3 linked regions of the Rattus norvegicus genome follow. The protein of the gene in region 1 interacts with the protein of each later gene in a pairwise test. Links are inferred from orthologs where the notes say so. Each region holds a gene or a part of one and is shown on either strand. Other genes may lie near its edges.

What was found.
Region 2: the proteins of Ccdc136 (region 1) and Jmy interact in binary tests that used the Homo sapiens proteins (3 or more experiments, as listed by UniProt). The two-hybrid records come from large-scale screens. The link is inferred for Rattus norvegicus from reciprocal best matches to the Homo sapiens genes CCDC136 and JMY.
Region 3: the proteins of Ccdc136 (region 1) and Hmg20b interact in binary tests that used the Homo sapiens proteins (3 or more experiments, as listed by UniProt). The two-hybrid records come from large-scale screens. The link is inferred for Rattus norvegicus from reciprocal best matches to the Homo sapiens genes CCDC136 and HMG20B.

What each region holds. Positions count from the first base shown.
Region 1 is NC_086022.1:58,958,113-58,968,702, reverse strand, and holds the start of Ccdc136 (coiled-coil domain-containing protein 136), read right to left. Parts: upstream 5,508-10,590; 5' UTR 5,411-5,507; coding exon 5,353-5,410; intron 4,605-5,352; coding exon 4,497-4,604; intron 2,859-4,496; coding exon 2,604-2,858; intron 2,520-2,603; coding exon 2,445-2,519; intron 1-2,444. UniProt on the Homo sapiens protein: May play a role in acrosome formation in spermatogenesis and in fertilization.
Region 2 is NC_086020.1:26,403,300-26,413,174, reverse strand, and holds part of Jmy (junction-mediating and -regulatory protein), read left to right. Parts: intron 1-997; coding exon 998-1,601; intron 1,602-2,895; coding exon 2,896-3,203; 3' UTR 3,204-3,206; intron 3,207-6,932; 3' UTR 6,933-9,875. UniProt on the Homo sapiens protein: Acts both as a nuclear p53/TP53-cofactor and a cytoplasmic regulator of actin dynamics depending on conditions. In nucleus, acts as a cofactor that increases p53/TP53 response via its interaction with p300/EP300.
Region 3 is NC_086025.1:9,014,236-9,024,705, reverse strand, and holds Hmg20b (SWI/SNF-related matrix-associated actin-dependent regulator of chromatin subfamily E member 1-related), read right to left. Parts: upstream 5,005-10,470; 5' UTR 4,700-5,004; coding exon 4,662-4,699; intron 3,990-4,661; coding exon 3,881-3,989; intron 3,561-3,880; coding exon of another isoform or gene 3,483-3,560; coding exon 3,279-3,482; intron 2,996-3,278; coding exon 2,875-2,995; intron 2,372-2,874; coding exon 2,325-2,371; intron 1,852-2,324; coding exon 1,776-1,851; intron 1,459-1,775; coding exon of another isoform or gene 1,417-1,458; coding exon 1,201-1,416; coding exon of another isoform or gene 1,054-1,200; intron 967-1,053; coding exon 834-966; intron 751-833; coding exon 738-750; 3' UTR 324-737; downstream 1-323. UniProt on the Homo sapiens protein: Required for correct progression through G2 phase of the cell cycle and entry into mitosis. Required for RCOR1/CoREST mediated repression of neuronal specific gene promoters.

The sequences.
Region 1 (10,590 bases):
GGGATGTTGCTCTGTGGTCAGCACCTGGCAAAGGCCTTGGATTAAACCCCTACCACGGGAGGAAAAAGACAAAGCGCTAACTAGAAATATAAAACATATCAGCCACTCCGGTCATGGAAAATACCTCTTATGGCATCTACAATGGATGCTAGCTCTGTCTGCTAACCTAAAAGGCCTACCTACTCTAACCAGACCTCTGCCCTCTTCTTAGAACTTCCTCCTACAAGGGTCCTTCACATGAACTTTGCAGTGACCTTGGTTCTGCACCCCCTAACACATGAAACTCGTCCTCATCTCTGGGACTTGCTGTTGCTGCTCTTCTGTCTACCAGGTTCTTCCACCTGATTTTGAATGGTTGGACGCTTCCCGTTACACAACTGACGCACCAATGTCTTGAAGACTTTTCATAACCTAGCCAACTCCCACTTCATCCCTATCCATGTATCTGTCCCGGGATAAGGGACTGAGGTGCATATCTTACCTACCAAAGCAGACCTAGCCTCCAGGTTCTCCCAGCATCCCTCAGTCCCAACCTGGCATACCCTGCCCCTAACCCTGAACTTTCCAGCACAGGGGTTGGGCTGCCCTTCCCCGAGAGGCTCCTCCCTATGTATTCCAGACATTTTGGTCTCCCTTTCTCTCTCCTCTTCTTCTCTTCTCTCTTTGCACATACTTTTCCTTTCTTTCTCTTCTTCTTCCCCCGTCTCCCCATGGTGACTGCCCCGGCCTCAGTCCTTGGGGGGTCAGTGAACTTGCCTGAATGTAGCTTCCCAATGAACCTGCATTTAATATAATCTAATCTGGCTTGAGTTGGCTCATTTTACTGGCAGAAAAACAACTTGTCAGTACCACATATGTATCTGAGCGTCATATTCATACCTGTGTTGCCTTTATTACTTGTATTGTTACACTTTCCTTTAGAACTTATTTATTTTTAATGGCACAGGGTCTTATGATAGCCTTGAACTCACTATGTAGCCAAGGCTGGCATCAAATTCCTGATTTTCCCTGCCTCTACTTCCCACATACTGAGATTTCCGGCCTGTGCACCCTACCCAGCTGTGGAATCTACTCTTTAGGAATTTGGACAATTGTGTTCTTTGTTGGTCCTTTAAATACAAAGGATCTCAACAAACAGGTGACAGACAACTGTTTTACAGGGAAGAAATGGAGACTCTGGAGGATAAGTGACCTGCCCAAGATAATGAACTTTGTGCATGGGTAAAGGTAAACCTGGGAGTTTACACACACACACGCACACACGCACACACGCACGCACACGCATACGCACACACACACACACACCGTGCTGTGTCTGCTATTTCTCTTTGCCACATTTCCCCCATCTCCCGTTGCTTGCATGCTGTACCCTTCTCTTCTGCTCCTCCTCATATAGGTTCTGTTCATTCGCTTGCTCTCTCCAGGACGGCTTCCAGACCTTTTCCCCCATCTCCATTTACACTTTGCATTTGGCTTGATCTCAGCTCTCCCTACAGAGTCCCTGCTGTTTTCTAGGGCAGATCCTCAGAACCTTCCGGAAGCCCACAGAAGTAACAAAAGCTCTCTATTTGGTAGTGCAGTGGAATATGGGACGACGCTTGCCTCACTGTTTCCTGAGACAAAAGGACAGGGACTGAAATAGAGGAATTGGGGACCACAGACTCAGGTTCTTATCTGTTTCCTTCAATGACACTGGAATGTCCTCCAGCGGGTCCCTATGGAGACCTTGGAGGAACCAGGATGAGAAATACAGCCTGGAACTCATCCTGGATCATACACCCCTGGCCCTGGGCAGAAGAACAAAGTAAATAGGGATGGGGGGGGGGAGGCTGGGAAAGATAGGAAGGCAAGAGAGAGGAGGGCAGGATGGCCATGTAGATAGGTAAAGATGGGAAATTAAGAAAAAAGGAGAACACGGGGCAAGGAGAAGAGAAGGTATACTGGCTGGTTCTGTGTGTCAGCTTGACACAAGCTGGGGTTATCACAGAGAAAGGAGCCTCAGTTGAGGAAATGCCTCCATGAGACCCAGCTGTAAGGCATTTTCTCAACTAGTGATCAAGTGGGGCGGACCCAGCCCATTGTGGGTGGTGCCGTCCCTGGGCTGGTGGTCTTGGGTTCTATCAGAGAGCAACCTGAGCAAACCAGGGGAAGCAAGCCAGTAAGTAACATCCCTCCATGGCCTCTGTATCAGCTCCTGCTTCCTGACCTGCTTAAGTTCCGGTCCTGACTTCCTTTGGTGATGAACAGCAACACAGAAGTGTAAGCTGAATAAACCCTTTCCTCCCCAACTTACTTCTTGGTCCTGATGTTTGTGCAGGACTAGAAACCCTGACTAAGACAGAAGGGGCAAGGAAATAAAGAAAAGGAGAGAGGTAAGGTTCTGAGTTAGGTTTGTTTGACTAGCGTGGCCACTTCCCCTCTGTCTAGACTTGGGGGGCAGTTACCTTGGAGCTGCTGGATCTGTTTGGTGAATACTTCGGCCTGCTGGGCACTGGCCAGCCGCTCATCCTCCAGGAGCCCTGCAGTGAGAGGAACGTCTGGTTTGGAACCGGGGATACACACACCCTTTGGGCCCAAGACCCTGCCCTGTCACGGGTGCTCACCCTGAAGCTCCAGGCAGTCATCCTCATGCTGCCCAGCAAGCTCACGGGTCTCCTCCAGCTCTGCCACCAGCTGGAGCACCTGAGCCCTCAGCTCCTCCAGCTCTGTCTCTGTGAGGCTCAGGCCCCGATGCTTGCCCACTGACAGGGAGCCCAAACTGCCTTCTTTCTGTACTTGATCTTCTTCTTCAACCTCTTCCTCTTCTTCCTCTTCTTCCTCCTCCTCCTCCTCATACAGAGCTGGAAGTAACACCTCCCCTAGGAGAGACAATCATCCCACCACACAGTCAGTACCTGTTCCAGAACCCTGCACCTGGAGTGGTAACCCCAGGCCCTGGACAGCAGAATAGTGCCACCTGGTGTCCCCCCCCCCCCCGAGGTTCCCTGGGATAGGACCTAACTCATGGTCAGGCTCTGGTGGGTCAAATTTGGATGCACCTTTTCCAGCTTCCTGACACCTAATATTGACTATCTACTGCCTTTACAGCAGCCTCATGCAGGCTCAGCTACAAGAAGCTTGCTTGAGGACACCTAGCACTGGTCGTCTCAACTCTGAGTAGTGGGACAAGGAGTTTAGAAAGGATTCAGACATTCAGACACCAGCTGTTTATTTAGGCCAAATGGAGCAAGCTTGGGAGGAAAAAAAAAATCTAGGTGGCTTGCAAGGTATTAGAGCCTTTTCATAATAAGAAAACACCGGCCTGGCCTGTAGGTAGCAAAGGAAACATTAGGCGGAAATGACTTGGTGGAACCCTTTCAAATGTATGTTATCAAATATCTTCTTGAAATTTTCTACACCCGATGTTTCCGTGTTGGGTGCCACAAGGTTCATCCCTTGCCTGCTGACCAAAGTTGATTTTCAGAGTAAGTGTCAGGCTGAACTCGTGTATGAAAGAAAGTCAGCCATCTTAACACATTCTTCTAAATTACTCATTTATTTATTTAATGCATACAGGTGCCTGTGTGTGTGTCTGTCCCTGCGTGTGTGTCTGTCCATCATGTGAGTGCAGCGCCCTTGCAGGTCAGAAGAGAGTATTAGAGCCTCTAAGACTGGAGTCACAGACAACTGTGGGCTGCGATGTGGGTGCTGGGAACTGGTCAACTGCTAAGCCATCTCTCCACTCCTGCTGACACATTTGAAAAACTGATACTGGTCTTCATGTTCAGGCTCGTGAACACTTTTTTTTTTTTAACTGCAATGCAGTTCCTGTAAATAGCAACATCTTGTCTTGGTAGGGATTGCTTTGTTTTTAAATTCTAGATGTCTGGTCTTCCCTTTTCTAATGCCAACAGCACACAGTTAATCTGAGATCCCTTATGCGATCTAAGTCTCTAGGGAAGGCCTGTGCTGAACTATACAGGGGCCTGGGGACACTTCACAAGAAGACCTGGATACTGGGTTGGTACCACCTGCCCTGCTACACAGGAGTGCTGCTGGGAAATAGGCTTCATCGAGCTCTCTCCTAAGCACTTTCTTACTAAAGCTGCAGAGCTCTGTTCAGAGTTGACAGTGGCGGCATCGAAAAGACAGTTCACATGTCCATGTCCTGGCTTTTAAAATAAGAGACAGCTTGGGATCTGGGTCAACAGGCAGGGAGAAGAACAAGCCCCCTGCCGAAAGCCTGTTTCCAGGCTGGCTTCAGCAGGACCTCTTTCTGTCTGGCGGCTCCCCCAGGACACACAACCTGGTTAGCTGGGTGATTGGAGCCCCAAAGGGATGAGCCCAAACTTCCATCAATGCCTGAACCCAGGGGAGGCTTGGAGCTCAGCCACCAGGAAGGAGGGGCTTGAAATGAAGTAAGGGAAGGGCCCTGTCCTGGCTCAGAGCTCTGGGGTCAGGAAGGAAGGAGGAAGGGAGTTATGGAGTGATGGAAAAGCCTTTTTCAGAAAACTCACCCTCCATAGCTTGCATCCCGCGGCGCTCCAGGGACCCCCAGCGTTGGCCTTTCTTCCTCTCACAACCCTCAGATACCTCATAAGAGCCTAAAGTAGTTACTGTGGGTCCTGTGAGCAGGGAGAAAGTAGGCACTGTAGGTTTCGAGGGGAAAGAAAGGGACCTGCGTTCTTATATGGGAGCCCCGAAATTTGTCATCACACTGGAGAAGCCTGACTCACTCTGCCCAGCTCTGTGATTCTATTCCCTTAGCCACCTCCCATGCTCTGCCTATGGAGAAGACCCCAGCCCGGAGCTACCTAACATCAGCACCCCTGTTCCAGGCTGTTTCCGGCTCCTCTCCCTCGCCCAGACAGAAGAGGGTGAGTGTTTAGCTTGGGGCACAAGGAGAAGAGGGATAGGGTGGGAACTAGGAAAGAAGGTTTTGGGAGGGTCCTTTATAGCAAAGCAGAGTAGGGAGGGGCGGCCGGACCAGGAGAGAAGAGAGGGGGCTCTAAACTAGGCCGTTTCCTCAATCTCTCCCCTCCCCTCCTCTCCCTCACCAGACCTCGCCCACCCCACCCTCTCACGGTAGTCAAGAGCTTTGATGAACTAGAAGGGTGCAGGTTCTAGAGACAATCCCCTCGCCCCCCTCGTGAGCTGGAAGCACTGTTGGGCTGGAGAGACTGGATGGGGAGCGCTTGGGGAGTGACCGCTGGGAAGAGACATCCCAGGTCGAAAGATGGAGAGCAGTATCCGGTATCCGGTGGAGGCCAGGGTGGAGGAAGCCGACTCAGTACCAGGAGAACCTGGGGGTCAGAAGGAAGGAGAGACGTTGGGGGAAAGAGCATAGGGAGCTGAGGGAGAGGCGGCTCTGACCTGGGCCAGGGCAGCTCCAGCCCGCGGCTCCCGCGCCGGCCCCGCCGCCTGCCTCCATGGCCGCTCCCGTCGCTGCCGCCGCCTCCCGAGCAGAAGCCGCAGCCTCCGGGCCGGGGACCGGGAGCCCGGTGCGCAACGAAGAGAGAGGGCGGGCCGAGAGGGCGGGGCCTGGCCTGGCCACCTGACGCGAGTGCCCGCCTGCGGCCGCCCGGAAACCCTCCCCAGTGCCGGCTCCCAGACCCATCGGGGACCTGCAAAAGAGTCTCAGAGCAAGCACCCAAGTGCCCCAGGCTCGCCCGAGGCAGCTTCAGGTCTGCTGCGCCTGCAAAGCAGGCGTGGGCTACTGGATCTTGAAGATGCTCCCAAGGAGTGCTAGGATGGCTTGGTTCTGGCTGCAGAACCCACCCTGGGTCAGCCGTGCGTGGGGACCTCTCTGCGCTGGGGTATCAGGGCCTGGTCTTGCCGGGTGATAGAAGCCGGGGAGTTTTGGGTAGAGGGGTGGGGTGTTGAATAGACTGTTTCATGCAGATGCGCAGACACGCGCGCACACTTCCTTGGTCTCCAGGCTGGGCCAGCATCTCCATCCCGGCAGTCTACAGAGCCCATCCCCTCCGGGTGGCCTCGCGCACCCCAGAGCTATTGCAGAGCTGGCGGGTAGGGAAATTGAGACCTGGATGTGCCAACTACCAGGCGGCACATCACTGCTTTCCCCCGAATTCCCACCAAGCCAGAGGCCAAGGATCCACCCAGACTGTCTCTAAGTGTACCAAGATCGTCCTTTGAGCCACGCCCTCTGTGACCTGTGCCGTGTGAGCACCACTGATGTTCCCTGTAACAGGAGATATGGGAAACCATATCTTTTCATCTTTTCATCTATTTATTCAAGAGATGAACTTGATCTTGAGGCAGATCTGACATCTCAGGAGGAATGGGCTCCCCGAGTCCTAATCGTGGGGAGATTTCTAAACTGGGTACTCACACCAGTTCTTTCTCTTGTAGTCTCACTCCTAAAGTTTGGACCTGGATTGGCCTTGTTCGAACTCCCCAAGCTGCAAGGCTCTTAAGACTCCATGTTCCACAGGAATGAAGCACTTCTTTGCCTGCTGCACATGTCTAGTTTTTCAGTAATTTCAGCCTCGGGTTGAGAGTTACTCTCCAGACACGCCATCCCTTCCTTATTAGACACCCCTGTTATGCTCTTCTGACCCTCTGGGCAGCATCAGAGTACTGGCTGCCGTTAAGATTGGGAAGTACCCTAGCTATCTTTGTATCTTTTTTTTTTCTTTCCTTCGGAGCTGGGGACCTGGGGACCGAACCCAGGGCCTTGCGCTTCCTAGGCAAGCGCTCTACCACTGAGCTAAATCCCCAACCCCCTTTAAAATGTGTAGCCCAGGCTAGCCTCGAACTCGTGATCCTCCTGCCTCTGCCTCCTTCAGCAAATCCTACCGGTGTGCGCCACCACAACCGGCCATCTTTGTATCTTTATTATCAAAGTATCTGACTCTTGGAATAAATGAGTTGACATGAACCTTCCAACTACATTAATAATGCCTTCCTCATTAATCACAGATTTTAACTCATGGATTTAAACTCATGTTCCTATTAACAATGATGCCTGCCAGGCAGTGACGGCACACACTTTAATCCCAGCACCTGGGAGTCAGGGGCAGGCGGAGCTCTATGATTTCGAGACCAGTCTGGTCTACAGAGTGAGTTCTAGGACAGCAAGGGCTACACAGAGAAACCCTGTCTCTAAAAACAAAACAAAACAAAAAAAGTCCAAAAATTAGAAGAAGTCAATAGTAAGTCCCACCCCCACCCCCAGCCTGATGATCAGAGAAATGAATGATTGTTCATTTTCACCAGAGGACAAGACCTATGGCTATAGTGATCCAGCCATAGAGAAGAGCTGCCAAGCAAGCCTATTGTTTTGCAGATCATCCAGCCAGACTTGGATAGCAAGATACAATGTTTAGAGATGATGAAATGGGCTCTCATGGGGGACTAGTTCTGGAAGCTCCGTGGTTCTGCCCCACGCAGCTCCTTCGGTTCTGTCTCAGCAGCAGGGCAGAGTAGCAGTTGGTAGTGGGTGAATGAGAAGAAAGACATTGTCGCTTGTGACAAGGAGAGCTTGGATCTTGAGCATTAGGATTAAGCTCTCCCTGGTTCCTGGATGCAGGTCATCACCATTGATCTCAGGGAATGTTCCAGGGAGACCAGAACCAGTCTGTCAGTAGGAGGCAAACCCCATTCAGAAATGGGGTTGAAAGGAGGGTGGAGTTAGGGGTCAGAAGGAAGGAGCTTAGCAGGTATGGGGGACGGGGCTGTCAGGAATGTCTCTGAAAGGCCAGGCATGCCGGGTGTGTCAGCCAGGTGATCAGCTTAGAGGGATGATCTGTATTAATCCTCATAATCCCAGGGTTTAAGACTCAGCCTTACCCCATCCCACCTCAGGAGATTATCCCTTCTGAGGACTGATGCAGCCATTTATCCCCTGTTATCCTTATTTCTAGATGCTCAGAGTAACCACTAAAGCATTTTTAAAGTGAGCATTTGGCAACATGCAGAAAAGTAAAGTTCAAAGACTAGTGCAACAACACTCCTGTGCACACCAGACTGTTCATATCTTTTTACTCTTCTTGCAGTACTGGGGTTTGAACCTCTGGACCTTTTGCATGGTAGGCAAACGCTCTGTTACCTTGCTACATCCCTAGCCATGTTTAAATTTTACTTTGGAGCAAATTTTATATTTTTATTAATTCTTTCAGAATTTTATAAATGCTTTTGAGTCCCTGCTCCTCCCACATCTACCCTCTTCACCCTCACCTTGCTACCCTACCCCCAGCTTTGAGATGTCGTCTTGTATTTCTTTTCTTTTCTTTTCTTTTTCTTTTTTTTTTTTTTTTCTCAGAGCTGGGGACCGAACCCAGGGCCTTGCGCTTGCTAGGCAAGCGCTCTACCACTGAGCTAAATCCCCAACCCCTTATTTTATTTTTCAGTGGAGTCCAGTTTGTATTGTCCTCCTACCCCTGGGAGCAGGGTCTGTCCTGGAGTATGGACGACCTACCTGGGGGCTATGATCATTAAAGAAAACTGACTTTCCCTCTCCCAGCAGTAATTTTACTTTCTTACAACCATATATTTTTGAAAATGACATATTTGCACACGCACCAGCATTTTGCCTGTATTTATATCTTTGTACCACATGTGTGAAGTGTGCAAGGAGACTGGAAGAGGGCATTGGGAGTTACAGATGGTTGTGAGTCGCCATGTGAGTTCTGGGAATTGAACCCAGGTCTTCTGGAAGAGCAGCCAGTGCTCTTAACCACTGAGCCATCTCTCCAGGTCAATTGATATCAAGCCAGATTTGCTTCTGAAGTAGGTAAGGACAGGGAGTAGTGTAGCAATTTGGGACCCTGTTTGGGTTTAGTTATGCACATTCCCTCCATGTTGCAGTAATGCTCTTGGCAGCCTAGTTCCTTTACCTGTGTGTACCATGTATACACAACCTTCCTCGACAACACACCCAGCCACCTCGGACCCCTACCTACATCAGGCTGTGTGTACACCACTCTTTGAACCATAGTTTAATGTTTCTTTGTCTCTAACAACTATCACGTTTTTTATTCAAATGTATTCCCAAAGGGTTTGGAGAGATGTTTCAGCTGTTAAAGGCTCGGCTTATGAAAAATAATAATTTTTTTAAAAAGACAAATATGGGGGCTGGAGAGATGGCTCAGTGGTTAAGAGCACTGAATGCTCTTCCAGAGGTCCTGAGTTCAATTCCCAGCAACCACATGGTGGCTCACAACCATCTGTAAAGAGAGCCGATGCCCTCTTCTGGTGTGTCTGAAGACAGCTACAGTGTATTCACATACATAAAATAAATAAATAAATATTTTAAAAAAAAGACAAATATATTTCCAATACATCTGAGTAGAAAGAATAAAAGGACAGATCCGATCTGAAATGGCTTTTGAGTGTATGCCTACATAAAGGTAAAACTGTCCTTGAGTAAACTTTGAGGGAGAATTCCCTGACTGTCATTATATATATGTGTGTGTGTGTGTGTGTGTGTGTGTGTGTGTGTGTGTGTGTGTGTGTGTGTGTGTGTAATTGGGTGCCTCTATGATTAAGATCAGATGCATTATGGGAAGTGATGTGGGAAATAATTAATTATATGACTTAACCTATTGTTCAACACAGAAAACAACTTTACACACTTTAGTAACCAAACTTCTTTTCTTGAACACCATAAAAGGAAGCCTCAAGTCATAATTGGAGCCTCGAACAGTTTCTCACTCCTGCGGGCTACTGGTCCTTTACCATGTATTTCTTTCTGGTCTATGCTGTTTGCTTTGCTTTGGAATAAAATTTCCTTGCTACTTTACAATTCTGTGCCAGCCTTTATTTGAAGTAGAAGCCTAAAATCTAGAAAAACCCAACCCCGACCACCAGAAACAATCCAAAGGTTTGAAAGTTGTACTTTATGTGTATATAGTCACAAAATATTACATAATTCTGATTTGTGTGATTTCAACATCCGTCTGATGTTACATCACCTACCTTCATTGGTTAACCTTAAAGTTTTAGGTATCCGTGTGGTTTCATGCAGCTCTGTTCATCCTCTAGTGGGCACCTGGGCGTCTTGCAGTTTTCCATAATAAAGTAAATGCTGCAACCGGCAATTCTATATATGCCTTCTCGGCACTTGTGTAACATATTCCAACAAGAAGGGGATTTCTAGGTCGTGGAATAGATGTCTCTAAATTTTACTGGTTGTTGCCAAGTTAGTCTGTAAAGTAGATGTGCCAATTTAAATGCCACTGTTTGTGACTTTATCTTCTTTATTTCCCGTCTGCCACTGGTGCAAAAGCTGCCCATGCTAGTCGTCTAGTACATTCTTCTTCATCCCCCCCCCCCCTTTGGAGACAGGGTCTCACTGTGTAGCCAAGCAGCTGTGTAGCTCATTGGTTAGTCTAGAGCCCACTATGTGGACCAAGCTGGTTTCAGATTTACAGAACTCTGTTTGACTTTGCCTCCCAAAGCTAGGATTAGAGGCTGGGGCCACCACGGCCCACCCATTTCCTTCAATCTTTAAGTCTGCAGTCACCATGCCTTTCTAGCAAGTAGCAGCCAACATTCTTCTTTCCTGATCCCCCAAACTTCAAGCTGGTGTTTTATCTTCAGCTTGTTTCTAACCCCACTAAGATTCATCACTGCCATCACCACCACCAC
Region 2 (9,875 bases), on another chromosome or scaffold:
TTGATGAGGATACAAACTGCCCACCTAGATAAGATAAATTTACAGAAATCCATCCTGACTATCTTGACAATTTAGGACCACCCAAGTCTGGGCCATCGTTCTCAGTCTCCATTTTCATTGTCTCCCTCTCCTGCAAAAACTTTGTCCCTGCCTTATTCTTTTACTGTCCAATCATGGCCTTGATCTAACTTGTGCCAGCCCTCACCTGCATAATGACATCAACCTACACCTTGTAAGCCCCCCTCCCCTGCCCCCTTTTTAAAGTTTCTTCTTTTTTTAAGCATTTGAAAATAGTTTCTTAGCTTATACATTAAGTAGTAATATATACATTGGATAGAGTTTATCTACTGTTTCTTCCTTTGAAGATTAAAGTCACGTGGCTAGTTTTCTTGTTTGTGACATGAGGTCTTGCTGGGTAGCCTTGGGTAGACTGGAATGTGTACAGACCAGGCTGGATGCAGACTCAGAGCCCGCCACTTGCCTCTGTGTCTTGGATGCTGGGATTAAACACAAGTGCAGCACAAGGCCCTGCATGTGGAGTTCTTAAGCAGTTGGCCTCATAGGTGAGAGGGGACAAGGCTTAGCATATTTGATAGTAGATAGTGAAGGGCTTGAGGATAATTGTTTGAAAGGTATTGAAAGTTAGGCACAGGGCTGGAGAGATGGCTCAGTGGTTAAGAGCACTGACTGCTTGTCCAGGGGTCCTGAGTTCAGTTCTCAGCAACCACATGGTGGCTCACAACCATCTGTAATGAGATCTGATGCCCTCCTCTGGTGTGTCTGAAGACAGCTACAGTATATATATATAAATTAATAAAAAAATTTTTAAAAGGAAGTTATGCACAGGCATTCTACTTTGTTTTTTTTCCCCCTGTCTCTTGGATAAAATCAGAAAAGAACCAAATAAATAACATTCTGTTAAAGGAGGAAATAATTAAGCATTTGTTGGCAAGTTAATTTAATACAATGCACCCATTCCCTAACTTTGATATTTTAGAGGTACCCTGGACAAGTCATCCTTAAGTCAACCAGATTACGAGCAGCTCATTCAAGAAGAAAAAGCACGGCAAGTCCTGTGCCCTGTGAGGAGCAGTGTGACTCTCTCCCAGCAGTGCTGCAGGGGGAGGGGAAAGCAGAGGCGGGAGAAGGAAGAGGCCAGCTTGGGTCTTCACAGACAGCAGAACCCCGGAGCCTTGTCCAGCTTGAAGACACTTCATCAGTACAACTTGAATCCACCTCATTACCTCCTCGTGCTGTCACCTCTGAACGGCCTCCTCCTGAGTCAGCTCCACTGTTGACCAATAGTGACCCCGAACGGTGTTCTGTTACTATAGATCCTCTCCCAGCCCCTCTTCCTCCAACACCGCCCCCTCCCCCTCCACCCCCTCCCCCTCCACCCCCACCTCTGCCGGTTGCAAAGGACAGTGGAGCCACCACCCCTGCAGAGACACTGGAGAAAGATGCACTTAGGACAGAGTGTGGTGGGAAGGGAATCCCCAAGTCGGCCAGCGCACCCACAGCACACCTCTTTGACAGCAGCCAGCTGGTCAGCGCCCGGAGAAAGCTCAGAAAGACTGCGGAGGGTTTGCAGAGGAGGAGAGGTGAGTGAGCGGACCTGTCCCACTCTGCTGGAGAGTGAAGCAAGGGTGTGTGTGTGTGTGGATGGATCCTTGCATGGAATTCTGTGTTGCAAAGCTTAAACTATGATTTTTCTATTTACCATTATTTGATAGTGAACATTCAGGGTCACAGCAGAGGAGAATTCTTACCAACTCACAGCAACAAGTGTTCTCAAACATGAGATGCTAGTCCTGTTTTTAAAATGGCCTCTGCCATGACATGTGATTAAGCAATACTTTTCGTGCTAGGTAAGAAGAGGTGCGAGGCCATTGGCAAGGCCATGTGTTTGGTCACAGTTTAGGATTGAAGACAGAAGAACAGGAAGCTATGTGTGCAACTCATTGCATGCCCCGGCATGCATCAATAGAGAGATTTCTAAACTCATTTCCCTGGCCTTTAAGGGACTTTGAATTTGCATGGGGCAAATAATGCAGAGCAATTTGCATATTACATATTGATCTGAGAATATTCTGTAAAATCTTTCATAATACAATCTGAATGGAACCTTGCATGTGAAATAACTGAAAAAAATCCACTGACAGTGAACCAGCATTAAATTGTGTGTGGTGGTGTGTTGGTGTGGGGGGGGACTGTGGGGGTGTACGGGAGTGTGTGTGGGGGTGTGTGGGGGTGTGTGGGAGTGTGTGGGGGTGTGTGGGAGTGTGTGTGGGAGTGTGTGTGGGTGTGTATGGGAGTGTGTGTGGGGGTGTGTGGGGGTGTGTGGGGGTGTGTGTGGGGGTGTGTATGGGAGTGTGTGTGGGAGTGTGTGTGTGGGTGTGTGGGGGTGTGTGGGAGTGTGTGTTGGGGTGTGTGGGAATATGTTGAGGTCAGAGTCTCTTGTAATACCATTCGAGTTGTTCTCTGCCTTACTTATTGAGACAGTTTCTCCCTGAACCTAGAGCTCACCATTTCAGATTGACTACCTAGCCAATGACCCTGCCCCACCCCCGTCAGGCTCCACCCATGTCCTTGCATGTCCCAAGTGCTAGGGTTATAGGTGTGCACAACTCTGTCCAGCTTTTATATGGATGTTGGTTCTAAACTTAGAGCCTCATCTTGGGCATAGCAAGGACTTTACCTACTAAGGCATCTTCTGGCTCCAGTATTAAATTAAAAAAAGAAATATGTAACAAATCACTGCCCTACTTTGGGTACTATGGGGGTCTCACCTGTCGTATTAAGACCTATCATATTCAGCGTGCATTGGAGGTCACAAAATTTGACCAAAACTTTAAAGCTCAATAATCCTCACTGACTGTTTTATCTTTTTCAAAGTGAGCTCACCCATGGATGAAGTGTTAGCATCCTTGAAGCGTGGTAGTTTCCATCTGAAGAAGGTTGAGCAGCGGACTCTGCCTCCCTTTCCTGATGAAGACGACAGTAATAATATTTTGGCGCAGATAAGGAAAGGGGTAAAATTGAAGAAGGTTCAGAAAGAAGTTCTGAGAGAGTCCTTCACGCTTCTGCCTGATGCAGACCCGTTGACACGGAGCATCCACGAGGCTCTGAGAAGAATTAAGGAGGCGTCCCCAGAGTCGGAGGACGAGGACGAGGCTCTGCCTGGCACAGACTGGGAGAACTAGCAGGTACACGGCCGCAGTCCTGGGCTGTGCTCGCTGATGAGCCCCGGCTTCCTTCCTGCTGAGTATGGGGCATGCTCATCATACGTGCTCCATAGCACGGATAATACATGTGTGCATTCCAGTTCTGACTCCAGAGCAGTGTCTTACTCAGTGCAGTGTCTATGTTTTAAAATCCTGTCCTTTACCCAGCATCCCTCTTGTGCAGTCAGGTGTAAGTGTCTCTAGTGTGTCACCGTTGCAGTTGTGAGGGCCTCTGTATCCAGTATCCAGGCTGGTCTGGAACTCCACTCGATTCTCTTGCCATCATGGTATGGATTACATGGTATGGCCAGCAAAGTGTTTTATTCATTTCTGTGTTTAAAGGTGTGTGTGGGGGGGGGGGTTGTCAGGGTGGGGCATGCACATGTGCGCAGTACCCACAGAGACGAGAAGAGACCATTGGTCTTTAGAGATGGAGTAACAGGTGGTTGTGAGCCCTCTGCCATGTGGTCTAGGAAGCTCTTTCAGGTCCTTCTGCAGGTTTTTAAGAGTGCTTGACCAACCATTAAGCCATTTCTCCAGCCCCAGAAAGACTTACAAACCGTTTGTTTCTATCTTGCTCATTAAAATATCTCAAGTGTAGTTATATTCCAAGTAAAGAAGACAGTGTTCTTTTTATCATCTTGACCAGAAAAGCCTTTTTAACTGAATTATTCAAGTTAGTCTTACTGAATCTTGATCCTTTCTTTGCTGCCCAGAAGGGAGTTTTCTCAGGCTAGAAAATTACCAAGTTATCTGGTTATATAGCTTTCTACATATTTAAAATGGTTCACTCACACTATTGTTCTTCACTGTCTACATTAATAAGTTACAAACACCTTGAATCCCGTGTCCAATATAATGGTTTTCACACGCACCGTAATACTTGCAGTCTGCTGTTTGCCGGCCTCCCTCCCCCTTTTGAGGTGGGATCTCACCTTGTAGCTCTAGCTGGTCTGGCACTAGATACACAGATCACGCTGGCCTCCCTTCTCATCTGCTGCTGTATTGGTGAGTTCTGGGATTAAAGGCATGTGCTACCAAGCCCTGCGGCTGCTTATTAAAAGCTAATTATGAAGTGATTAGCACAAATCACACTTACAGAATAGTGATGATAGCGTATGCCATAAGCTAGTTGCATAGCTAAAGGACTGACAGCTACGTCCTTGGCTGGAATAAGGTAATGTGTGCAAAATGTACAGGGCATATGACTTTCTACTCTGAATAATTCTGTTCTCTGACAGACTCTATGGCATTTACTAAAACAGGAAGAGTTAACGAGACTTGGTTGTACTGTTAATACCCCAGCCATGTTCAGGAGGATCATGACTTTGAGGCCAGCCTTTATCACATATCTCAAAACAAAAACTGACGAGTGAACCCCAAAGAGGCAACACACTAGCTAGAGGAGATGCGTGTGTGCGTGCGCGCACACACACACACACACACACACACACACACACACACACACACATGACAGCTATTATTTTTTTTAACCTGGGCATGGTGATACACACCTTTAATCCCAGCATTCAGAGACAGAAGAAGGACTCTGAGTTCAGTCTAGCCTGGTCTATATAGTGGTCTTCAGGACAGCAAAGACTACAGAGTTGTCTTAAGGGGCCTGCGAGAAAAATGTATTTTTAAAATGATTTTTAGCAAGGATGTATACAGGATAATTGTCCGTGGATGGGAGGGTCTGCACAGGATCCTTGGCTGTGTGTGATTCCATGAACTGGCCATAGGGACTTGGTGAGCCTGAATTCCGGCCTTTGACTCCAAATCTGCCGAGGTGGGTGTTTAGTGTATATGCAAGTGCACACGGATTGGGAAGACTTGGCACAATGAAATGGGAAGTATTGGGGGCGGGGATTTAGCTCAGTGGTAGAGCGCTTGCCTAGGAAGCGCAAGGCCCTGGGTTCGGTCCCCAGCTCTGAAAAAAAGAACCCAAAAAACAAACAAACAAACAAAAATATGGGAAGTATTCAAATAAATGATTACTACCAAAAGGGTTTTTACCTGTTCCTTTTGGACCTGGAGGTACGTTAAGGAAAACACCCCTCCTTGCAGCCCTCATCGTCAGCATGGGCCTCAGTCTTACACACAGGTCTAAAATCACATTCTCCATAATGTGTGATTGTGCATTACCTTCTCCCTGTGTTTTCCTTTATTGCTGTAATGTACGGAGACCCTAATTTTCAACCATAGCAGTGTTTCTGATTAATGTATTAATATTCAGAGACTCAAGTTGTCTTCCGGTCCTTTTCCAGAGTACATATTTGCATATCCTCTCCCCCTTCAGTGTCTCCTTTTGGCTTCTCCTGCTGCTTACCTGTGTAGCTCGCCCAGTCCCCACTGACTGGTTAACTGTCCTTTGTGTCCTTATTGCTACACACAACAGCACCTGTCAGCATTCCCATGTTGTCTTTTCCCATCCCACCAGGTCTTGCCGACACATAAGACAGGGCCTCAGCATGTTGTATAATTCAGCTGAGGTGATTTACATGGCTGGGCACTGAGTATCAGGACACTTTGTGAAGGGAGTATGAGAGGCTGGTAGTGTTGAACGAAAACCAGGGAAACACTGAGCAGATGTATGCCCTACATACCTTTAGAGCTCCTCTGAGAGATGACTGTGAGGTTTCCCAGAGATGACTGTGGCTAAGTGTCCCGCAGTAAGTAGCTTTCTAAACCTGAGACAGAATCATAGACTTTATGACAAGGTTCTAATTTGTCTCCTGTAGGGTCTTTCTCAAACTTCTAAGTATAACAGTTCAAAGAGAAAACTGCTGGTAGTCCTTTATAAAGGGAAAAGGAATACGTGAAATTGATCTCAACTTTTATCTGACAGGGGACTACAACAATAACCTTTCAGTATGCAATTGACATACAATTGTGAAATAGTTTGTGTGTGGTGTTTCCAGCTAGCACATCTCAGAGAAGGATCCTACCAAACCAAAATAGATGTACTGGGAAGACACTTTGTTAGAGCCTCTTAGTCTACAAATTAGTCATCTTCTGATCACATTAGCTGTGTTGAGATGCTCAGTGCCCATGTATAACTTCATTAGTAGAAAACAGAACTATAATACAGAAACAAGTTTGCAATACATGCTTGTTCATGTCTCTTTAAAGAATGGTTTTTATCCTCCTCCCAGCGGGCAGGTTGATAAAGCAGTCTGCCTCTGTTGAAGCTTAAAGACTACCATTTAATAGGTCCTACTTACTCTCCTAAGGAACGGAAATGAAAGTGAATCTAACACCCTCAATAGTGATCAAAATTTGTATTAAATGACTCTTGTTCTTACTACTTTAAGAATACAAACATCATGGGGTCTGGGGAGGCGGCTCAATTGTTAAAGATCATTGGCTGTTTTTTAGAGGCCCTGTATATAATTCCCAGTACCCATGTGGCAGCTTAGTGGGTAATTTCAGTCACAGGGATCTGACACCCTCTTCTGGCCTCTACAGGCACTGAAGGCACATGGTACACAGACATACTCATGCAGACACTCATTTACATAGAAAATAAAATCTAGTTTAAAAAATTATAAACATTTTTCTTAAAAGGAAATGCTATACCATTATTGTATAGATTACTATTGAAAAAATATTCATTGAAGATATTTCCAGGAGTATGAGGGAACAGACTTATGCTCTATATTTAAGAGGCATTTTGTTCTAATATTATATTATTTTGTTTGCAAACAGGTAACTTAACAGAGAGAAGAAAAATACCCATGGATGAAGACTGGCTCTGATTTTTTGGGGGAAAGTTTAAGCTCTTGGTCCCACAGTTGGATTCCATTAGATCCCGAGTCTATTGACAACATGGTATGACACACAAAAGGAAGGAGACAGGAGGTTATTACTGTTCAGTCACTCTCCTCGATAGTGCTGACGTCAGCTTTGTGTGCAATGTTCCTGACTGCAGTGAGAACAAGCGCCGGGGGACGGCTGTTCTTGCACATTCTTTTCCCCGTCTGCCCACTCATAGTCTCACCGTGGCCAGTCGTGTCCCTGTGAATTGGGAGAGCATGGGGTTGGCGTCCTTCTGCTGTGCAGGCTGCTTGGGATTCATCTTCCAGGGAACTGAGAAGATGCTTGCTTGAAGCACAGCTGCTTCTACACCAGGTTATAGAAGCAGAGTGACAGGCTGACGAAGATGTTTATCAAGGTAGTTATGGTCAGGAATTAAAAGAAAACAACACGAAATGCACTTAAAATGTCCACGTCACTCACTCATCTCCAAAGGAGATGTTCAGTACCTGAGAAGCCAGTGGAGATAGATGCCTATTGTGTGCACTGAAACATGGCACATTCTAACAGGGCATATTTTTAAGAGGCCACAGTCTTACATTTTGTAAGAGTTTGAAGTTAAAATTTCCATGCTTTTAAAATAGCGTTTCATAATTCTGTATTTAGAATAGTTTGAATTTTATGTGCGTCCTGTTTATGAGAAGCAATGCTTTGTAATTTGATAATGTTACTTTTAGTCTTTTTGTTTGAACTACTGCTTGATTACTATAACTCATGACTTTCCTATTGAGAATCAAAAATCAGGATTCAACAGTAGGGATACAAACAAATTACAACTCTTTGTATCATGCACCAGTTTAAGGTTTATTGCTGTGCTCCTGGTGGGGAGCATGTGTTGAGTAAAGGTCTGGAAGGCAGCGGGCGGTCCCGAGAGCCTCCAGCCGTTATTTCACCGTCTTTTTATTCCGCAGCTAGAACTTTAGGAGAGTGTTTGTTGCTGTGACTAAGTCTTTAAACTTACATGGGCAGATCCAGTGCTGGCTTGGCTGTGTCTGTAAGGGTCCATTTATGAGTGGAGCTGGTGCTGCTTGTCAGTGCGGACATGCCTGTAGGCAGATATGCAGGACCCGTTTCAGCACATTATAGTGTGTGCTAATGATGGAGGAGGAATTAAAATACCAAAAAGAACTTCATTCTTAGAACATTCTTCCCCAGCTTTGCCCACCTGAAAGCCTCGCAGTGTCTGCCTCCAGGAACATGGCTCCCTTCTTGTCACTTTTAAGAGATGTTTCTCTTTAAATTAATTATGAAAAATATTCTTGTAACGGGTTATAGAAAACCAAATCTTTGCACTTAAAACATTCATGTTTATTGATGAGACTAGTAGCATTTACTTAATGTATTGGTTTTAGTCCTAGCATAATTCCCACATCTTGTCCACAACAATTAAAGCAGCTCTGACAGACAAACCTCATTCCTAGAGGAACTCTGTGCCCTTTATACCCCGTAAGTACCAGAATGTGTCTAACCCAAAAGCCATTGGCTAGATAAAAATATTTGAAAAGCTTCAAAACTTAGAAACTTTCTAAAAGTCACCTATCATCCATGCACTGTAACATTTACAGACCTACCTGTCCGTCCGTGCATTGTAACATTTACAGACCTACCTGTCCGTCTGTCCGTGCATTGTATACCCAGGAGCTCAGTTACTTGCTTCTGAGACCTGGCCCTGCTGTGTAGCCCTGGCCAGCCTGGGACGCCCAGGTTTGCCACAGCCCTCTTCTCTCGTCTCTGCTCTCTGCCTCTGTTACAGGCGTGTGGGGGGGGGGGGGGCTGGATTTTTTTTTTTTAAAGATTCATTTTTAAAATTACTTTGAATTATGTATACAGAGGCTCTGGCTTGGTTACTGGGAACCAACCTTGGGTCTTCTGAAGTCATAGTGCATGTTCTTAATCCTAGATCCATCTCTCCAGTCCCATTTTTTTAAACTTCAGAAAAATCGGGAGTATAATTTAACAAAAGCCATTGTGTTGTAATCAGTTTTAGCAGCAGACGCCTAGGCTTTGTAGGTGGGGATGGATGAGGACAGGGAGCACCTCTGAGCACATCCTGACATCCAAGACACAGCACGGAGCCTTCAGCCTGTGCTCGAGGAAGTGATTTCCTCCCAACATGCCATTCTCTGCCTCGGATTCTTGTTCTCAAACTGGAGTGCAAGACCTCATGTTCCACCTCTAGCATTGCTTCTTAATCCTCAAGGAAAGATTTTTACTTCACAAAATCACACACACTGGAGTTATTCATCATAATAAAATTTAAAATAATTCGTATACATTATCAAATCACCAGACAAGTTCTCATTAATTAATTTAAAGTGGCTTTAGGGCCCCGGAAAATGACAGTAAGCATGGTGTGTTTTTCCTCCCATCTTAGTTTCCTAAACACTTAATAAAACACAGAGCTGCTGCTTCAGTTTAGATGCAACCGGGAGACCAGAAGTGATGAGCTCTGGCCTCACAGTTCATTCACGTCCTCAGTTGTCATGGCGTCAGCCAGTGTGTCCAGTTCCTCGTGTACCTGCATATTTTATACTGGAGATGGGAAAGCAGGAGATGACTTGGGATGCTCAATCTAGTGTTATTCTTCATACTTGAATGTCAGTTTCAATATTTCCCTGATTCAACCCCAATTATGTACAGCAGCCAGTGTACTATGTATAGAAAAGGCATCTCTCGATTCAAAGTCCTCATTGCTTTTTTAGCAGTAAGAGTTGCTGGAGAATGAGGACTTTTAGGGGCTAAGCAATGACCCTGTTTAAAGAGTGCTTTATATGGGGTATGAAGTTCATGAGACAGCCTGAAAACAATCATTCCTTACTTGTTCATTGTGCACTT
Region 3 (10,470 bases), on another chromosome or scaffold:
TGCTTCCTGAGTGCTGGCTGGGACTAGCTGTGGCCACCACTCAGCTAAAGCAAGTTTTATTTAGTAAAATTTCTGGGAGGTGGACTGAAGTCCAATCTGGGGGTTGGGTGAACTGAATCCAGCCTGACCCTAAAGCCACAGAGGATCCTCAAAACGGACAGGGCGATAGGGGACTCTAGCCCAACTCTGCCTCAGTTTCCCCACTTGATAACCGTGTAGTGAAGGTTCTGAGATCCTGTACTAGAGGTAGGAAGGCAGGCCAGGCCACCGCAGCAGGACAATCATGAACAGGCTGGGCCTACTCCTCTGAAGCCACAACTGTTAACTTGAATGAAAACTCACTTGCTTTTATTGACACATATTTAAAAGTCCGGATTGAGTGATGAAAGGCGTGGGGTAAGGGGCTGTTGGACTACCCCACCCCTACCCCGGCGCTGCTTGGTTAGCGCCTGCCCAGTGGGTCCAGTGGCTGTATGGTGAGTGGCCTAGGGTCCTGCTCTTCATCAGGGGTGGCGGTGGGGTATCTGAGTCCGGAGGCCATGGTTCCTCTGTTCCTGACCCACTGTACTGTGACCCTCCCTGTGAGGCAGGCAGGTCTTCCGGGCTCTGCAACCTGGGTTGGGGTTCGAGGTTAAAGGGATGCAGTTGAGATTTCATTTGAGGGGGGTCTGGAGACCCCAAGGTGCAGCTTCTTCCTGGGCGGGTGTGGAGGGGCGTCTCCCGGTCCAAGAGGCCTGTCACAGGTGCTCGCTGTGGGACAGAGGGGGTGATGAAGACCTCGAGCTGAGCCATACTCTCTCTTCACCCCGTTCCTCCCCTCCTGCACCTCGGACCTGGCTACTCGCGCCAGGATCTCCTTGACGCGCGCGATCAGTCTCTCGTGCTGCGCCGGGTCGCGCTCGATGGCTCCGTGAAGCCGCGCCATGTAGAAGTCCAGCGTTCCGAGCGTCGGCGTCTCCCCGGTGCCTGCGGGTCAGCGGGTTAGTGAGGGGCGGACCCGAGGCTGAACACGCAGAGAAGGGGCGTTCCTTGGGCGGGGGCGGGGGGGCCTACGCGCAACAGGCAGGTCCGCGTCCGGTAGATGGGACAGATACTGCGGAAGCGGAGCCTGGCGCGGAATTGGGGCGGGGCCTAACAGAACGTCCTGTGGGCGGGCCCGGGGCTGTGGGCGGGCCCAGAGCTGTGGGCGGGGCTGCGCACCGGGCACCGGCAGAGAGGCGAAACTAGCCGTGAGCGCTTGTCTCACAGCCTGCAGTTGCTGTTGCAGCGCCAGCGTGCGCCGCTCCTCCAGCGCCAGCTCTTGCTCCAGACGCTCACGAGCGCTGTTCATGCTCTGAGTGTGGCGCTGCAGCACTGCGTTCTGCTCCTCGAAAGCCACGTTCATCTTCCGCAGGCGCCGCAGCTCTGCCTCGCGTGCTGCAGGACAGGAGTCAGAGCCCTGGAACTGGTCCTGGAGTGCTGTAGACCCACTTCGTCTCTGGCCTCATCCCGACCCTTCCCCTCCATCCCTGGCCTTACCCCTGACCTCATCTCCCTTCAGACCCGGTATCGGCCCTCAATCCCCGACCCCAGCCCTGACCCTTTTCTCCCCCCAATCTTAGCCCTACCCCCACCCCTACCGTCTCCAGCCTGGCTGTCTTCCCTCTATTCCCAATCCATCCCTAACTCCATCCCTCCTCTGTCCTGGGCCCCTGAAACCTCAGTCCTGACTTCAGTCCTCATTCTCATTTCCAATCTTCTTCCTACCAGGACACCAGCACCTACGAAAATCTCACCTTTGTTTTGGTCCAAAAACTCTTCAGTGAAGATGGGAACATCAAAGGTTGAAAAGCCATCGCCGCAGTCCACACCCTGGGACATGGCAATGAGTTTGGTAGGGACCCACATCTCTGGAGCTTGGGCCTCCTGGAGCACTTGGCCTGCTTTTATTTCCTTTGGGGTGTGTGTGTGTGTGTGTGTGTGTGTGTGTGTGTGTGTGTGTGTCCCATATGTATGCAGTATCCACAAAGGCTAGAAGAGGGTAGCAGGTAGCTGATCCCCCAGAACTGAAGTTAGAGATGGCTGTGCACACAGCCAAGGGGGTGCTGGAAACTGAATCTTTTTTCCTCTGCAGAGCAGTGAATGTTCTCAGCTCTGAGCGGCCCTGGAGTCCCCAGCTTCCTACATGTCAGGTCAGGACTAAGCTATGCCCCACCATGGTGTTGCTGTGTCTCCACAGTGGTCTTGCCTATATCTATGGGGCACACTCACTGGGGAAGGAGGAGGGGTGTCTAAAAACATTGGTGTCTTCTCCCTTAAGTCCTTCTGGACAGAGAGGCCCTTACCTTGTGTCCATTCAGGAGGGTGTTCATGAGCCCAGAGCTGGAGTCCTCTGGTGAGGAGGGAAGAAGGCAGGTCAGCCAGGACTCCAGGGACCCTCCCAGTCCCAAGTCCCCACCCATGGCCCCCTTGGAAACCTTTGTGCCCATTGGAGTTTGGGCCCATTAACCTTTCTTTTTGTTGTTGCTGGGTGTTTGTTTGTTTGTTTGTTTGTTTGTTTTTGAGACAGGGTTTCCCTGGGTATCTGTGGCTGTCCCGGAACTGTTTTTTTTTTTTTTAAGATTTATTTATTTATTATATGTAAGTACACTGTTACTATCTTCAGACACACCAGAAGAGGACATCGGATCTCATTACAGATGGTTGTGAGCCACCATGTGGTTGCTGGGATTTGAACTCAGGACCTCTGGAAGAGCAGTCAGTGCTCTTAACCGCTGAGCCATCTCTCCAGCCCCCCGGAACTGTTTATAGACCAGGCTGGCTTCGAACGCAGAGCTCCTCTGCCTCCCAAGGGCTGGATTAAAGGTGTGTGCCACCACTGCCCGACTCACTCACCTTTTTTTATTTTGTTTTCTTGGATCTTCTCGGTGCAGACCTTGTAGGCCTCTGACTGCTGGTATGCCCACAGCTCCTTCAAGTACTGCTGTTTCTCCTTCTCTGCCTCATCCAGGTACCGCTGGGAGGGGAGTAGCACCCACAAACTAGGGCCAGCCCAAACGAAGGCAGGCACACAGGGGTGGCCAGAGCCAGGACCTGTTCGTAACTCCCACCTTGCCTCTCTCCCTCCCTCAAACCCTTAGAAAGAGCATCCCTTCTCCAGGTCTGTCTGACTCACTCTCCACCTTGTTCTTTGAGCCAGGGTCTCTCACTGAACCCGAAGATCACCGATGAGGCTTGCCTTGCTGGCAGGAAGACCCAGGAACCCTCCTGTTTCTGCCACCCGCTTCTCTGGTCTCTACCTGCTTCTCTGCTGGCTGCAGCTTGCTCCACTCCGCGCCCAACATCTTGGTGATCTCCGGGAAGGGAAGGTCCGGATGTCGGGTGCGAATCTGCTCCCGCCTCTCGTTCAGGAAGCGAACATAGCCCGTGACCGGGGCCTTGGGCCCATTGGGGAGAATCTTCTTTCTTTTCTTGCCTTTGGGCCAGCCTCGCTTCTTCACTGGCTGCAGGAGGGGGCTGTGTCCTTGGGAGGGGCTCTGAGAACTGTGGGCGGGGTCTGGGGCGTGTGGGCGGGGCCTAGCCTAGTAGTGGGACAGCAGATCAAGGGTCAGAACTCTAGAGAGCCAATTGTCCTGTGCGGAGACAACCTCCTAGGGGTGGGACTGAAGCCAATGACAGGATGGGCGGGGGCGTGGCCTCTTGCTAGGCAGTGGGAGGGTCTTATACAGTGTGGACTTGTGAGGTGTGTGTTGCTGAGCCAGGGGACAGGCTTTTTTTTTTTTTTTTTTTTTTTTTTTTTCGGAGCTGGGGACCGAACCCAGGGCCTTGCGCTTCCTAGGTAAGCGCTCTACCACTGAGCTAAATCCCCAGCCCGGGACAGGCTTTTCAGATGGGGACTCACCTCCTCCTCCTGGGGCCCCTTCTCTCCGGCACGGGGACCTTCGCTGCGCTCCTGCTTGACAGCCACTACAAAGGCCCCATGCTGGCCCGGAGTCTTGCCTCCCGCAGGTCTTGGGGACACAGGAAACCAGGGTCACCATTAAGTGCCAGAATCATTCCCCCATACCTACCCATCCCATTCTTGTCACTGGAGATCACAGAAGTATGTGAGAGCAAGCATGAGCCCGGGAAAAGGGGGTGGGGACCTAGGGTTTGAGGATCCAAGGGTCACAGTAGACCACTGTGGAGTGAGGATAGTTCAAGGATTTCGAGGTGGGGCCGGGAGCGGGGGGAGGATGCAGTGAGGTGGTCCTGGAGCCTAGGAGCAAAATGAGATAGCGAGGAAGACTATAGGGTTCCCTGTCAATTCTACGGGGAGTACAGAAATCCCGAAGAGTGACAGGACATGGTCAGAAGTCCCAGTAGTGGGGATAAGGTAGGAAACAGGGACAGGACAGGTCCAGGGTTCCCAAAAGAGGGGTTCACAGAGGTACCTAAGGGTAGGACAGTGCATGTCCAGAGGTCCCAGCGTGGACATAACGTGTTTAGGAGTACCCGAGAGTAGATACATGGAATGTTCAGGGGTTCCCAGAGATGTGGGACAGGACATGCCCAGGAGTACCCGGGGTAGAGACGGGCATGACCAGTGGTACTCGAGGTGGACACAAGGCATTTCCAGGGGTACTCGACGATGGGGACAAGACATATCCAGGGTCGGGACAGGCAGGGGGAGGCGCACTCACGCGGTGGCTGCGCCTGGCTGCCGGGGACCGTGGGACATGGCCACTCCGGGGGGGTCCTGGAACAGAAGCCGGCAAAGGTTAGGGGGTTCCTGCCTGCCACCCCGACGGGACCGCAGGCCGGTCCCCGGGGTGCCCAAGCGGGGGAGGCTGATCCCGGGGCGGGTAGGTCCTGGGGCGGGAGGCCCCGCGATCCTTTGTTGCGAGATCGAGTCCCGGAGGCCGCGCCCCGCAGCCTCCGCCCCGCGCAGGCCCCGACTTCCCGGCTCTTTTCACCTCTGAAAAAACTTTCCCGGGACCTGGGATGCGGCGACGCTCCAACCAAGCGCCCGCGCCCGCTCCTCCCTCATGCTAATAAACCCAAGCCTAGCGCTTCAATTGGCTGAGTAATCCATGGGGGCGGGGTTATGCAGATTAATTTCGGCGCGCCGGGCGGTGATTGGCTAAAGATCTGCGGAGCCGCGTGGGAGGTGCGTCGGGCAGGTTGCGGGCGGGTGCGTCAAGTTCGGCTGCGCTCGGACGGGCTCGGGACCAATCGGAGGCGATTGGCGGCGCGCTGTGGGGCGGAGCTCCTTAAAGGGCCAGTAGGTATGGAGATGGAGACCAGGGACGCGGTCGGCGGAGGAGGCGTTTTTAGTAGGCTCCTGAGGAAGGAGTTAAGTTCCAAAGAGGCACCCCTCTGCAGTAGGGCAAGGCGTATTTTTTCTTACTACGTTGAAAGAAAAATGGGTCTGGTGAGATTGCACAGCACTTGAAGGTGCTCGCCACCTAGTGGACGACTTGAGTTTGGAACCCACAAAGTGGTAAGTGAGAATGGATTTTCCAGCAAGTTGTCCTCTGAGCTCCACCGTGTGCTGTGACATGTGCAACACATACACACCAAAATAAATGAATGAACGTATGCTTTATAAATGGAGGACTGGGGAAATGGTCTGTGTATATACCCTGACCACCAGTCACTGATTTTCCTTTCTGTGGAGCCTTGGTTTTACTTTTTGACCGAGGGATGCATTGAACCATAGGAAGAGTAACAGGCTGGGAGGCTGACACCTAGGTCTAAGCTAGAAGCTCGGCTGAGAGCATTTTCATAAATAAAGCATTTTGAAGGTCAGCTGCAGGCTGACAAGAGGGCTTAGCAAGCAAAGGGGTGGGCTGGAGGCATGGCTCAGAGGTTAAGAGCATTCACTGCTCTTCCCGAGGTCCTGAGTTCAATTCCCAGCAACCACATGGTGACTCACAACGATCTGTAATGGGATCTGATGTGTGTGTGAAGACAGCTGTGTTGTACCCATATGCAAAAATAAATCTTAAAGGGCTGGAGACATGGCTCAGTGGTTAAGAGCACTGACTGCTCTTCCAAAGGACCTGAGTTCAATTCCCAGCAACCACATGGTGGCTCACAACCATCTGTAATGGGATCCGATGCCCTCTTCTGGTGTATCTGAAGACAGCTAGTGTGTACTCAAATAAAAATAAAAATTAAAAATTAAAAAAAAATCTTAAAAATAATAAAAAAGTAAAGGGATTTACAGAGAAGTCCAACAACTTGAATTTGATCCTCATTATCCAAAAAGAAGAGACAGCACACCCCACATCTCGGTTGCCAAATGTGATTTTACTCTAGTCTGTAACAGTCCACAGTAAAAGAGAAACTGAAGAGGATTGGAGAGTTGTGGGTCTGTGGTGGAGAGTGCGTTTCTCTTGCAGGAAACCTGAATTCTATTCCCAGCACCCATTTGTCTGCTGAAAACTATCTGTAACTCCAGTCTCAAGAGATCTCTTTTTACCTTTTTAGGAAAAAGAGCATTAGCATTAGACAAACGCGCGGGCACACAGGTTTACATGCAGGGAAAAATGCTCATAAACATGAAATAATAAATAAATCTTTTTTTTTAAAGAAATGCTTGAAGTTATTGCTCAGTGGTTAAATAAAACCTGCTGCTCTTCCAGTTCAATTCCTGTTAGACACACTAAGGGCTGGGGGCGTGGTCAGAGTGGAGCCCCGCCCATAATCCCCAATGAGGGACTGGGGACAAGATTAGGGCGTTTCCCTGATGCACTGCGGTCTTGGCCTCCGTCCTCCCTCACTGTTATAAACTGGAACCCTGTGATGGGGTAATGTTGGCCAGATGACAATGTGGTAACTCATTAGACACATGGCGATGATGGTATGTGTTTATGGGACCACGCACATGCTTACACATGCAACATGTGTTTGTCTGCCTTAATGGCAGGTGCAAGTGACGCCCCCAACTCGCGGCCTAGGGGATTCTGAGCCGCTTTTCTCAAGCAAGTGACAGTGCAGATAGAGCTGCTTAGATAAGGTTGGGCTTGATCAAACCTGGGCTTCCTGTTACAGCAGAGATAGAACATTGGGGGAGAACAATGGCCGGCGGCTGTGAGGACCGAGGCCAAGGTGGCCCAAGAAGGGAGCCTGGCAGTTACTCTGTACTGAGTCTCGACCTTCATCACTGGCTGTGAGCTTGGTGTGCCATTACCTACCCGCCTTTAATGCTGGCAGAAGGGGGGGAATCTCTGTAAGTTCCAGTCTTCCCTGTGCTACATAGTGAAAGCCTCTCAAAAACAGTTAAAAATAAATAAATAAGGGCTGGAGAGATGGTTCAGTGGTTAAGAGGACCGAGTGCTCTTCCAGAGGTCCCAAGTTCAAATCCCAGCAACCACATGGTGGCTCACAACCATCTGTATTGAGATCTGATGCCCTCTTCTGGTGTGTCTGAAGACAGCTACAGTGTCCTTAAATAAATAAAATATTAAAAAAAATAAATAAAAAGACAGAAGCCGGGGTTGGGGATTTAGCTCAGTGGTAGAGCGCTTGCCTAGCAAGCACAAGGCCCTGGGTTCAGTCCTCAGCTCCGACAAAAAAAAAAAAAAAAAAAAAAAAAAAATTCCTTGGGCCTTCGAAAAAGACAGAAGCCGGGAGGTGGTGGCACACACCATGAATCCCAGCACTCGAGAGGCAGAGGCAGATGGATCTCTGTGAGTTCGAGGCCAGCCTGGTCTATAGATATGCAAGTTCCAGGACAGCTGGGATACACAGAGAAAACCTGTCTTGAAGAACCAAAGTAATTAATTACAATTAAAAAGATAGAACAGGGGGTTGGGGATTTAGCTCAGTGGTAGAGCGCTTGCCTAGCAAGCGCAAGGCCCTGGGTTCGGTCCCCAGCTCCGAAAAAAAGAAAAAAGAGAAAAAAAAAAAAAAAAAAGATAGAACAGACCCAGGTCTGAGTTTATGGTGTTTTTAAGTCGACCTTGGAAGCACCAGGGATGTAGTTTCAGACAGGTTTGGCTGTGGGGTAAGGTTGCTGGGATGGAGTAACAGTAACGAGTCCTTGAGGCTCAGATAACAGATGTATCAGCGCGTCTGTTCTACGGTTGTTTTATTTTGTTTTGTTTGTGGTGGAAACAGAACGGAGACCTATAGAGACTGGGCAGGCTTTCTGTCTCTGACCCCCACACCAGCCCTCTCTGGGGGTGGGGCGACACTAGGCAGGGCTCCACCTCCAACCTCAGCTCCAGCCCTTCACTGAGGGAGTTTTAGGCATGAATCCCACCCTGGGCCATGCCCAGACCATTTGTCTGTCTGTCTGTCTGTCTGTCTGTCTGTCTGTCTGTCTGTCTTTCTTCTTTTTTTCGGAGCTGGGGACTGAACCCAGGGCCTTGGGCTTGGTAGGCAAGCGCTCTACCACTGAGCTAAATCACCAACCCACCATTTTTCTTTCTTTTTTGTAATTTTGTTTTCTGTGTTTTGTTTTGTCTTGTTATATGACGCAGGGTTTCTTTGTGTAGCCTGGCAGTCCTGTAGCTCTGTAGACCAGACTGGGCTCAAACTCACAGAGATCCTCCTGCCTCTCTACAGTGTAGGAATTAGGGTGTACGCCACTAGTCCCTGCCCTAGATCTTTTTAGATTTTTTTCTCTTCTTCTATCTCTTCTTCTTCTTCTTCTTCTTCTTCTTCTTCTTCTTCTTCTTCTTCTTCTTCTTCTTCTTCTTCTTCTTCTTCTTCTTCTTCTTCTTCTTCTTCTTTAGATTTATTTATTTTATGATGAGACACACTAGAAGAGGGCATCCCATTACAGATGGTTGTGAGCCACCATGTGGTTGCTGGGAATTGAACTCAGGACCACCTCTGGAAGAGCAGTCAGTGCTCTTAACCGCTGAGCCATCTCTCCAGCCCCCTTTGTAAGTTTTGATTCAGGGTCTCTCACTCTCACTAAACTGCCCAGGTGCAGCTGAGCTTGCAATCCCCCTGCCTCACCCTCTGGTTAAACTTTCAGTGTGTTGTGTGGGAACAGAGCTCGGTGGCAGTGTCTGCCTTGCAAGCCCCAGGCCCTGTATCCACCCCAGTCTATCCCCCAAACCCCAAATGGCTTCTTAAACCTGGAGTGGGGGCTGGAGAGATGGCTCAGCGGTTAAGAGCACTGACTGCTCTTCCAGCAGTCCTGAGTTCAACTCCCAGCATCCACATGGTGGTGCATAACCATCTGTAATGGGATCTGATGCCCTCTTCTGGTGTGTCTGAAGACAGATATAGTATATTCACATACATAAAATAAAATAAACCTTTAAAAAAAATTAAGGGGTTGGGGATTTAGCTCAGTGGTAGAGCGCTTGCCTAGCAAGTGCAAGGCCCTGGGTTCAGCCCCCAGCTCTGAAAAAAAGAAAAAAGAAAAAAAAATTAAACCTGGAGTGATGCTGCACACCTTTAATCCCAGCGCTTGGGAGGCAGAGGCAGGAGATCTCTGTGAGTTTGAGATCAATCTGGTCTATAGAGTGAGTTCCAGGACAGCCAGGGAAAGACCTTGCCCTGAAAAACTAGGGGCGAACAAAACACTTAAGTTAGACGTGAAAATGTTATTGACACACCATGGCCTCACACTCTCAGTCCTGTGAGGATCTCGTTCTTTTATTGAACAGTGAGAAACACTAAGGCCTCTTTCCCCTCCAGCCATCCTGAAATGTCAGGAAATTCAGGCGAGCCTGGCTCCCATCAGCGGGTCTGAACCCCACTGCATCAAAGCAGCCCCCGTGCCTGAGGCTGGACTTCAGCCACCAGGAAATCCGGATGGATGGAGGCCTGGGCTTGGTGTCCTGGGCTGCTAGGTCGCTGGAGGGACATCAAAAGCTGTCAGGATCTGTCTAGGCTCCCACCCCCAGGACCTGGACGCTGATTCCTTCCTGTCAACCTTCCTCTGAACTTGTCTTTTCTGACCTTTGCCCAATTCCAAAGCCTTTCCAGGGGCCACATCCCTTCCATTCACGAGGTTAAGCAGAACCATCACCTCTCTGTTGGGCTTTTTATCTGACATTGTCTCCGTCTCCCCGGCCAGAGATCTAACTAACATCCTGGCCGTCCAGCTTTGATCCTGCCTGACCCTGAAGGCTCTCAAGCCCACCGTGGCTCCTCAGGGCCCTCACTGTGACTTTCAGTTTTCAACATGGCCTGGAACCACAGATCCCTGGCGACTTCTCCAGCCAGCAAGGCACAAGGGAGGAGTGGGATAGCCTGAGGAAGTAGAAACCTGAGCTGAATCCATAAGGGTTCAGAAATGCAGAGACACCCTGCTGCTGCTGACACAGGAGGATTGCCCCAAGCCCGTCCTCTCAGCTCTAGAGAAGTGGGGGCAGGATCGAAAGGAAGAGTTCAAGGTCTCTGTTGATTATGAAGAGAGTAACCAGCCAGCCAGCCTGGGCTACATGAATCGTTAAACGGTGTTTAAAAGTAAAATATACTGAGCAGCTTGGGTTTTGTCCCCAGCAACTGAAGGAAAGGGAGGTGACGGCTAAGGCATTT